2 linked regions of the Schizosaccharomyces pombe genome follow. The protein of the gene in region 1 interacts with the protein of each later gene in a biochemical or structural test. Each region holds a gene or a part of one and is shown in the gene's direction. Other genes may lie near its edges. The genes, in order: its3 and opy1.

Region 1 (3,929 bases):
GATCGATTGGTTCCTGCTCTAGAAAATGAAAGGCCATCTAGAATACATCAAACATCATCTGTTAGCAAACTTATATTAAACGATGAATAGAAAAACAAAGATTGTCTTCTATTCGTTGATTTGGTCCTTACCCAACGGCAAATGCCTGCCTTTGCACAGCTGTATAATTTCAAAGCTTCATTGTTTAGAGTTTCTTTATTAAGTAAAAGTTCATTAGTGTATTTAACAAGGCCATCTTCCCTCATACAATTTTGGCGTTCCAGTTCTATATTCTCTAGCCTCTCTAAAGCATTGCTAATAAGAGAATATTCCCAAAGAATTTGTTGACTATCCGGCTGAGTTTGGGTAATCGGAAGGTTTTGAAATGAAGAAGGGTCAAGCGAAAGATTGAAGCAATACTCAATGAATGCGATATCCATGAATATCGGCATTTTTTCATGACACATTGATTTCGAATAACCCAAATATCGTAAGCAGGCTAATTGGTTAATGATTTTCAAGATTGGCTTTCATACCGTTCACAATGGAAGATTCTTCTCTCTGCATATCATAATGATTTTCCTTGATGAAAAACGTTTCTAGTGTATTCAGCACAGATTGTGAACGAATCTTCTCATTCATTTTATGGAAAAAACTAATCTATACACGAAGGATAAAAGTATAAAAAGTTGGTAAAGTCAATGTAAGTTGGTCTACGAGATAAAATGAATACCATTCCGTAAGAGAAAATAAATCATTTAATAAAGAAATCTAAAAACGAATGGATCGAATAGCTTTGTCTACTGTTATGTTTCTTGGAACATCGTACAGAAGACGAATTTAACTCCTTAAAGAAGTGTATTTTGTTTAATGTTATAAATTATTCCCTTAAACAGTGAACTGCTTTATCCAAAAAAGCGGTAAGCAAAATTTCCAAATGAAAAAAGTATTTGAATGGAAGATCGACTTTGGCGTGACAAAAGAATAAATTTTACTCTCCATTTTAAGTCCTTCATTTTCATAACGCTATGCCAATTACCTTGGATCACGGTGGTGTTTGTGCCTTAAGACATGAAAAGCTTACGAAATAAACATGCTTTAGGCGATTGATCATTTCTTCCAAGATATTTTTCCTTATTCAATCTCAAAAATTACTCTAATTTGTTATTTGCTAGAACTAAATGATCCATCTGATTGAATGTTTTTACTACCCAAGCCTCTTAAGATTCTATCCGAAGTTCTTTATTTACTTGTGCACAAAACCCGAAGGAATGGGAAAAGCAATTATCTATCTAGTAAGACAAAAAACATTAGATACTGTCCTTTGATTATAATTTCAATGGATTCTTAAAGTTGAATATTCAGTGCTAGCTTCTTTATATTATAGACATTCAAAGTAAACTTGAGAACGAAGAAAAGGAATATTGGATATTTCCTTTTTCTTTTTGTTAAATATATATATATATATATATTTTTGGAAAATAAAAATAAATTGATATGTTTGAAATAAACGAAGTATACGTTATGTGTATCTTACTTTAATTTTTTTTAACTTTATTTTATTATTTATTTTTTTTTTAAGGAAATTTCAAATCTTTAGATTTTCAAAATAGCTCAATCATTTGCTGTACTTATCCATGCAAGCTTAATCATTATAAATTGATTAATAGAGGTTCTAAAAAGTAAGCCTTTATAAAATTGGATTTACAGCATCCAGCTCTTCACGCAACACACCCATATCGATGCTTTTGTTTACGTTGAGCAGATTCGTTTTGTTTACATTCAACGAAATCGACGTTGTCAACGACTTCAAACATCGCAAGCTTATGGACTATTCGCAATAATGGAACTGGGTTTCAGAAGTTTTTGGCTTGGTAAATTCGGGATTGCTCCTTTCCCATACAGAAAGCGATAATTTTATCCATTTACTGCCATTAGTGCGAATTATTGGAGAATGTGCCGGACAATTCGGTGAACTCCGGTGACTTTATATATCTAGGGAAGAAACTGGTAGAAACAACACTTCGCTGGTATCAAGTGTTTTGCGGTGAAAGAGTTGATAAAAAAGAGAATTAAGCTGCTCTTTTCGGTAAATTAAAACATTTTGAATAACTTGGGAAAAAACTTGCTTTTGTAGGAACTGAAAAACGACGAAATTGACGTCTTCAAATTGTTTGTTAAAAAACGGAATCAAAAATTGTGTTTGGAGTCCATTGGCGAGTAAATTTTTAACTCTTCATATATGTTTGTAGGAAACACTAATGAAAATTGATTCAAACGGCATAGTGAATCCGCATTCTATAACGAACGAAATCCCTTCGTATGATGAAAAGCAGGCTGTCGATTTGAATGGGAATGCTTTTGCTCCAAATGGTACGTTTCAAAAAAAGGATTTGATATCCCATAAAAACGATTTCGAACGTACGATGCGCCACGATGTTCTTCATACCAACCCCAAAATCGAAGTTCGGTCGGAGACCCATATTTATGAACCTAACGATTCATTATTTAAGGAAAATCAAGATTTCCCCTCAAATCCCACTGCCCACTCTCCTTCTTCCTCTTCTAACGATTCGGTAATTACGGCTACTGGCGTACCTGATGGTATCTTGAGAGATTCTCCCATCGTAAGTGCCCTCGAGCCTCCTTCCTCCAATTCTTCCTCTTCTCCCCAATTACAAAATTTAAAGCATCAATTATCCTCTCCTCAACCTTCTCGCGCCCCCATAGATCGCTCTTCCTCCAACCCTGTAACCTCATCTCAGCAGCCACCTAATGATCGTTCCACGCTCAGCTCCTCGCAGAAGGCGAAGCGGCCGCTAAAGCGATCTTACTCCGAAAAAAATTCTAGCAACGCTGAACCTTCTGGCTCGAGATCCGGCGACCGAGGTACCAACGTCAGTACCTCGGGTTCTCTTTTGGATGGCATTCCCCCCGATATTGGCTCTGCTAGCTGGGCTGAAGCAGTCAAACAAAAACGTGTTAACATGCGCCGTCGCAGGGAAGAACTGGACGATGAGTGCGTTCTCGTTGGAACTAGAGTTTCAGAGGGCCATGAAAACTATGTTACAGCGTACAACATGCTTACTGGAATTCGCGTCGGTGTTTCTCGTTGCCAAGCGAAAATGGACCGTGAGCTTACTCCTGCTGATTTTACTGCTCGTCACAAGTTTACCTTTGACATTACTGGCAACGAACTCACTCCCTCCGCCAAGTATGATTTTAAGTTCAAAGATTATGCACCTTGGGTATTTAGACATCTAAGGCAGCTGTTTCATTTAGATGCTGCAGATTATCTTGTATCTCTTACCAGTAAGTACATTTTGTCTGAGTTAGATTCTCCTGGGAAAAGTGGTTCTTTTTTTTATTTTTCTCGTGACTATCGATTCATTATTAAAACAATCCATCACTCTGAGCACAAATTTTTGCGTGAAATTCTTTATGATTACTACGAACACGTCAAGAATAATCCGAACACATTGATTTCGCAATTTTATGGGTTGCATAGGGTAAAATTACCCTTTGGCCGAAAAATCCATTTTGTTGTAATGAACAACCTTTTCCCACCTCATCGTGATATCCACCAAACTTTTGATCTCAAAGGATCCACCCTAGGAAGGGAACTCGACGAAAATCAACCTTGTCAAAGTCCCATGTGTACAATGAAAGATACAAATTGGATTCGCAGAAATATGCATCTTCAGTTTGGTCCTTTAAAGCGTCAGATATTCTTAACTCAGGTCAAAGCCGATATTGATATGCTGTCCTCTTTAGGAATTATGGATTACAGTTTACTTGTCGGCATCCATGACCTTTCACGTGGTAATCGTGACAAAATTCGTAATAGCATTCTGTCAGTTTACGACCCAAATGTGTCGCAACATCGAGTGCCCTCGATTAATGGCAATGAATCTCACTCAAACGTTCATGTAATCAGACAAGTCGTTAAT
Region 2 (3,929 bases), on another chromosome or scaffold:
TTGGAGTTGTTGAAGAAGAAGAAGGGTGGTAAATACTGTGTATTGCAAATGGACCCCAAGTATGTTCCCGCCGAAATTGAGACTCGCCAGGTCTACGGTATTAGCTTACAACAGCATCGCAACCATGCCAAGATTGACTTCAGCCTTTTTGAGAAAGTTGTTAGTAAGAACAAGGATTTACCCAAATCTGCTCTTATTGATTTGGTTATTGCTACCACTGCTCTTAAGTATACTCAAAGTAACTCTGTTTGCTATGCTAAGAATGGTATGGTTGTTGGACTTGGTGCTGGTCAACAATCCCGCATTCATTGCAACCGTTTGGCCGGTGATAAGGCTGATAACTGGTGGCTTCGTCATCACCCTAAAGTCTTGGGTATGCAATTTAAGAAGTCTGCTAAGCGTCCTGAGAAATCTAACGCTATTGACTTGTACGTCCTTGATGCCGTTCCTGCTGAAGGTAGTGAACGTGAGCAATGGGAGTCTGCATTCGAGACTATTCCCGAGCCTCTTACTAAAAAGGAGCGGGAGGAATTTTTGGCTACTTGCAAGGATGTTGTCTGTGCCAGTGATGCCTTCTTCCCCTTCCCTGACAACATCTATCGTCTTGCCCAAAGCGGTGTCAAATATGTTGCTGCACCTGGCGGTAGTGTCATGGATCAAGCTGTTCGCGACACTGCTAATGAGTTCAACATGGTCTTTTCCGAGATCCCCTTGCGTTTGTTCCACCATTAATCTTGTTTGTATACCTAATTTTTGACCACTATTACTATGGATATAATTTTTTTTGTTCTGTATATTTGATAGGTTTCCTCAGTTTATACCATCATTTAATAGAGGTATTACAATAAAGACTTCAACGTCTTTTACTTTTTTTGATTTAATATAAAAAAATTTGGCATCTTTTTTGTATCCTGAATTTTGAAAAGATTTCCGATACTCAAGGCATTTTATTTCAGTAATAGTAGGGAAAATATTTTTTATTGTTTAACACGAATGCAACAATTTTATTCGAAAGCTTGGAAATTCACAGCATAACGGGCTCAATAAAGCATTTTTGGTTGCTAAGCTAACATATGAAGTAGAAAGGAAAACGCCATCAAACCTGCTTTTTGGATGTGAGCTTCGCAGTAAACTGACTGAGTTAAACATGTTCTTGGGTGTTTGCAAATTTCTATTAAATTGATTGAGCGTATGTTTTTGCTGCAGTTGATTTGAAGCATAAAAAATCCGGTCAGGGAGGGACTCGAACCCTCGACCTCACGATTAACAGTCGTGCGCAATAACCAACTATGCTACCCGACCTTAGTTACTCACGAGCAAAATTAGTACTATTTAATGGTATTAAAAAGGATTTAATGACTTTAAAATTGTTTTTTTTTTAACCCCATTCTTGCTTGATATATTTCCCATCTTAAAGGGTTACATACTCTTATTCTTTTATCTTTCATTCGATTGTGATTGATTTACCATATCAATAATCATCTTACAAGACCGGAAACTATCAACTATCTGGACGTAAAGTGAAGCATAAAGAAGATGGCATAGAGGACGGAAGGGAATTTTTATTATTATTCCAAGAAACCATGCTAAAATCACGTTTAAACCCTACTCCCTACTAACTCAGTATCTACTGAGTAGCTTTCATAGGTCTCGAACCGAATGGGAAAGACCAACGCTTTCTACATTAGAGAAAGTGGTTCTCTAAAAAATATTTAAAAAAGTATTTCTTTCTTGTTGCTTTTCTTTTTGTTACAGCGAACAAGTGCTCCCTTTAAATAGCTTTTTTGTTTTCATCCTGCCAGTCCTTACAACAATCCCTTACCACTGTGCACCAATACAACCTAAAGTTGAATTTCTGTAACAGTAGGATTTACAAAAGTTCTTTTGATTCTTAATTAGTATACGAGATGTAGCACTTCTACACGATTACTGTGTCCATGTACTATATGGTTGTATGCCTCTCAAAATAAAGATGACATATTTTCAGACTACCTTTTTCAAAAAGAAGGCTTCTCAATTCTACTGCTACAATTTATTCGTACTATCATTTCTATTATTGAAATTTCTCTACCATACATTTTAATTTCACTTGACAAATAGCGATACGTTAATGAACGCTATTACTGAATATGTACGTCGCTGGTACCACTAACACGTATGCGTTAGGAAACGTGATTTTAACCAAAATCTGTATAGAGGACGACTTTACATCGTTCTAGTTTAACACCTTTCAGTTTAAGGAATTTTCTTGATGTATTCAAAAGAAAGAAGGCGTTTATTAGTTTGACTATTCGCTTGATGAAATGGACCCAGGAGTTTCATCGCATCTCAGAACTGCTAGCCTTGATGAAGCAAGAAGGCTTCCAGAGCTTGAGCGTGTTTTAAAATCCGGATGGTTGATAAAGAAAGGACATGCAACTTCTGTATGTATTCATTAACTTAGTTGTCTGAGTAATATTTACGATACGTTTGAGTGGAAAGGGATTTGGAGTATTCTTTAATTTTGTGAAGTGTACTTAGAAGTGAATGATACGTACTCTTAATTCTTTATTGTTCGCTTTTGATTTGGGGATATGATGATGCAAACAGCACCCTACAAGCACTTTGACCAATTGATTTTCAGAATATTCCAATTATTTGCTTCCCGTTTCAGAGTCAATATTTGCACTCATGGTTTTTTTTGTAGTGGATGCTAACAACCTAGACTAAAAAGCAATTATGGGCTGTTCTTCGCAGAGATCAGTTATCTTTTTACAAAGACGAAAAGGTTTGTGAATAAAATGTGCAAATTTCAACGACGCGCTAACAGTCTTCAAGGAGTACAAAACCAAATTTATTTTCCCTACTCAGGATATTTCAGCTGTTGCCTACTACAAAGAAAAATCACCAAAAAGTACGTTAGAATTTTTGATGTTTATATCTAATGTTTAGCTTTTTTCCTGTATTTAAATGAAAAGATAATTCGTCTCATTGCCACTTCAAATGAGGATGCTGAGGAATGGGTTCATGTTCTAAGATCCACAACGGGTTATAGGGCACCGTTTTCAAGACATCCTATCAGTTATATCCTTGCGAACTCTTCATCTCGAACCGAAAGCGAGCCTAACGTTCAGATCTCTGATACTGACTTCGACAATATTTCGACTGAACCTCGTAATCAAACGACTTCTCCTTTAGACTTGGAAACTGGTCAGGGTGACCATTTCTGTACTTCACTTTATGATTTGATACAGTTTGGAAAGTTGAGACCACCAGGTATCAATGAAGAAAATGCAAATTACCCCTTCAACCCACAAGAAGTTAATACGCTGAATAAGCACAGGCATTCGGCTTCCTTACAAAATCTCTATAAACTCTTGGATGAAAATAAAGTTCTTATGCAAGGAACCATTCACTGGCTACATGGAAATTTACATAGGTGGTCCAAGTGTTGGGCTGTTGTTCGTGGATATGGTATGACTATTTACAACACGAACCGAGAGTACAAACCTGTTAAAGTGATACCGATAGCCGACATTCAGGATGTTGCTGAAATAAACGTTCCGGAAAGCTCACACAAATACTTTTTTACCGTAATTACGCAAAACAAACCTATCGAATTTCGCGTTGATAACGAAGATTCACTTATACTCTGGGTTGCTGCACTTAAGACTTCTATTGACAAGGCCAATGGTACTTTTACTGCTTGTTAAAAATGGCTTTTCCATCAAAATATTTGGTGCATAATACGATTCCTCAGCTACTTTTCTAGCTACCTTCTTGTGATTTCCTTTCATAAGACTCCCCTTACCCTTCGTGTACATACGTGTTGATCCGTTCTGTTTCTATATGTTTTGACTATCTCGTTGTTTTTTTTTTGTCTAATAATATTTCCGATAATGTCCGAAAATCGACACAGCTAGTTACAAAAGTGTCTTTCTTGCTCTAAT

Evidence for each region.
Region 2: the proteins of its3 (region 1) and opy1 form a complex in vitro, tested with the Schizosaccharomyces pombe proteins (one study listed by BioGRID).

The regions. Positions count from the first base shown.
Region 1 is NC_003424.3:4,070,136-4,074,064, forward strand, and holds the start of its3 (1-phosphatidylinositol-4-phosphate 5-kinase Its3), read left to right. Parts: upstream 1-2,000; 5' UTR 2,001-2,240; coding exon 2,241-3,929. Other genes in the region: protein Poz1, read right to left, coding at 1-37, 132-478, 516-621. UniProt on the Schizosaccharomyces pombe protein: Catalyzes the phosphorylation of phosphatidylinositol 4-phosphate on the fifth hydroxyl of the myo-inositol ring, to form phosphatidylinositol 4,5-bisphosphate. Involved, together with the calcineurin ppb1, in cytokinesis.
Region 2 is NC_003421.2:944,635-948,563, reverse strand, and holds the start of opy1 (protein opy1), read left to right. Parts: upstream 1-2,179; 5' UTR 2,180-2,303; coding exon 2,304-2,423; exon of another isoform or gene 2,424-2,704; coding exon 2,705-2,767; exon of another isoform or gene 2,768-2,817; coding exon 2,818-2,893; exon of another isoform or gene 2,894-2,931; coding exon 2,932-3,692; 3' UTR 3,693-3,929. Other genes in the region: ade10 (bifunctional IMP cyclohydrolase/phosphoribosylaminoimidazolecarboxamideformyltransferase), read left to right, coding at 1-732. UniProt on the Schizosaccharomyces pombe protein: Binds phosphatidylinositol 4,5-bisphosphate (PtdIns(4,5)P2/PIP2) at the cell membrane.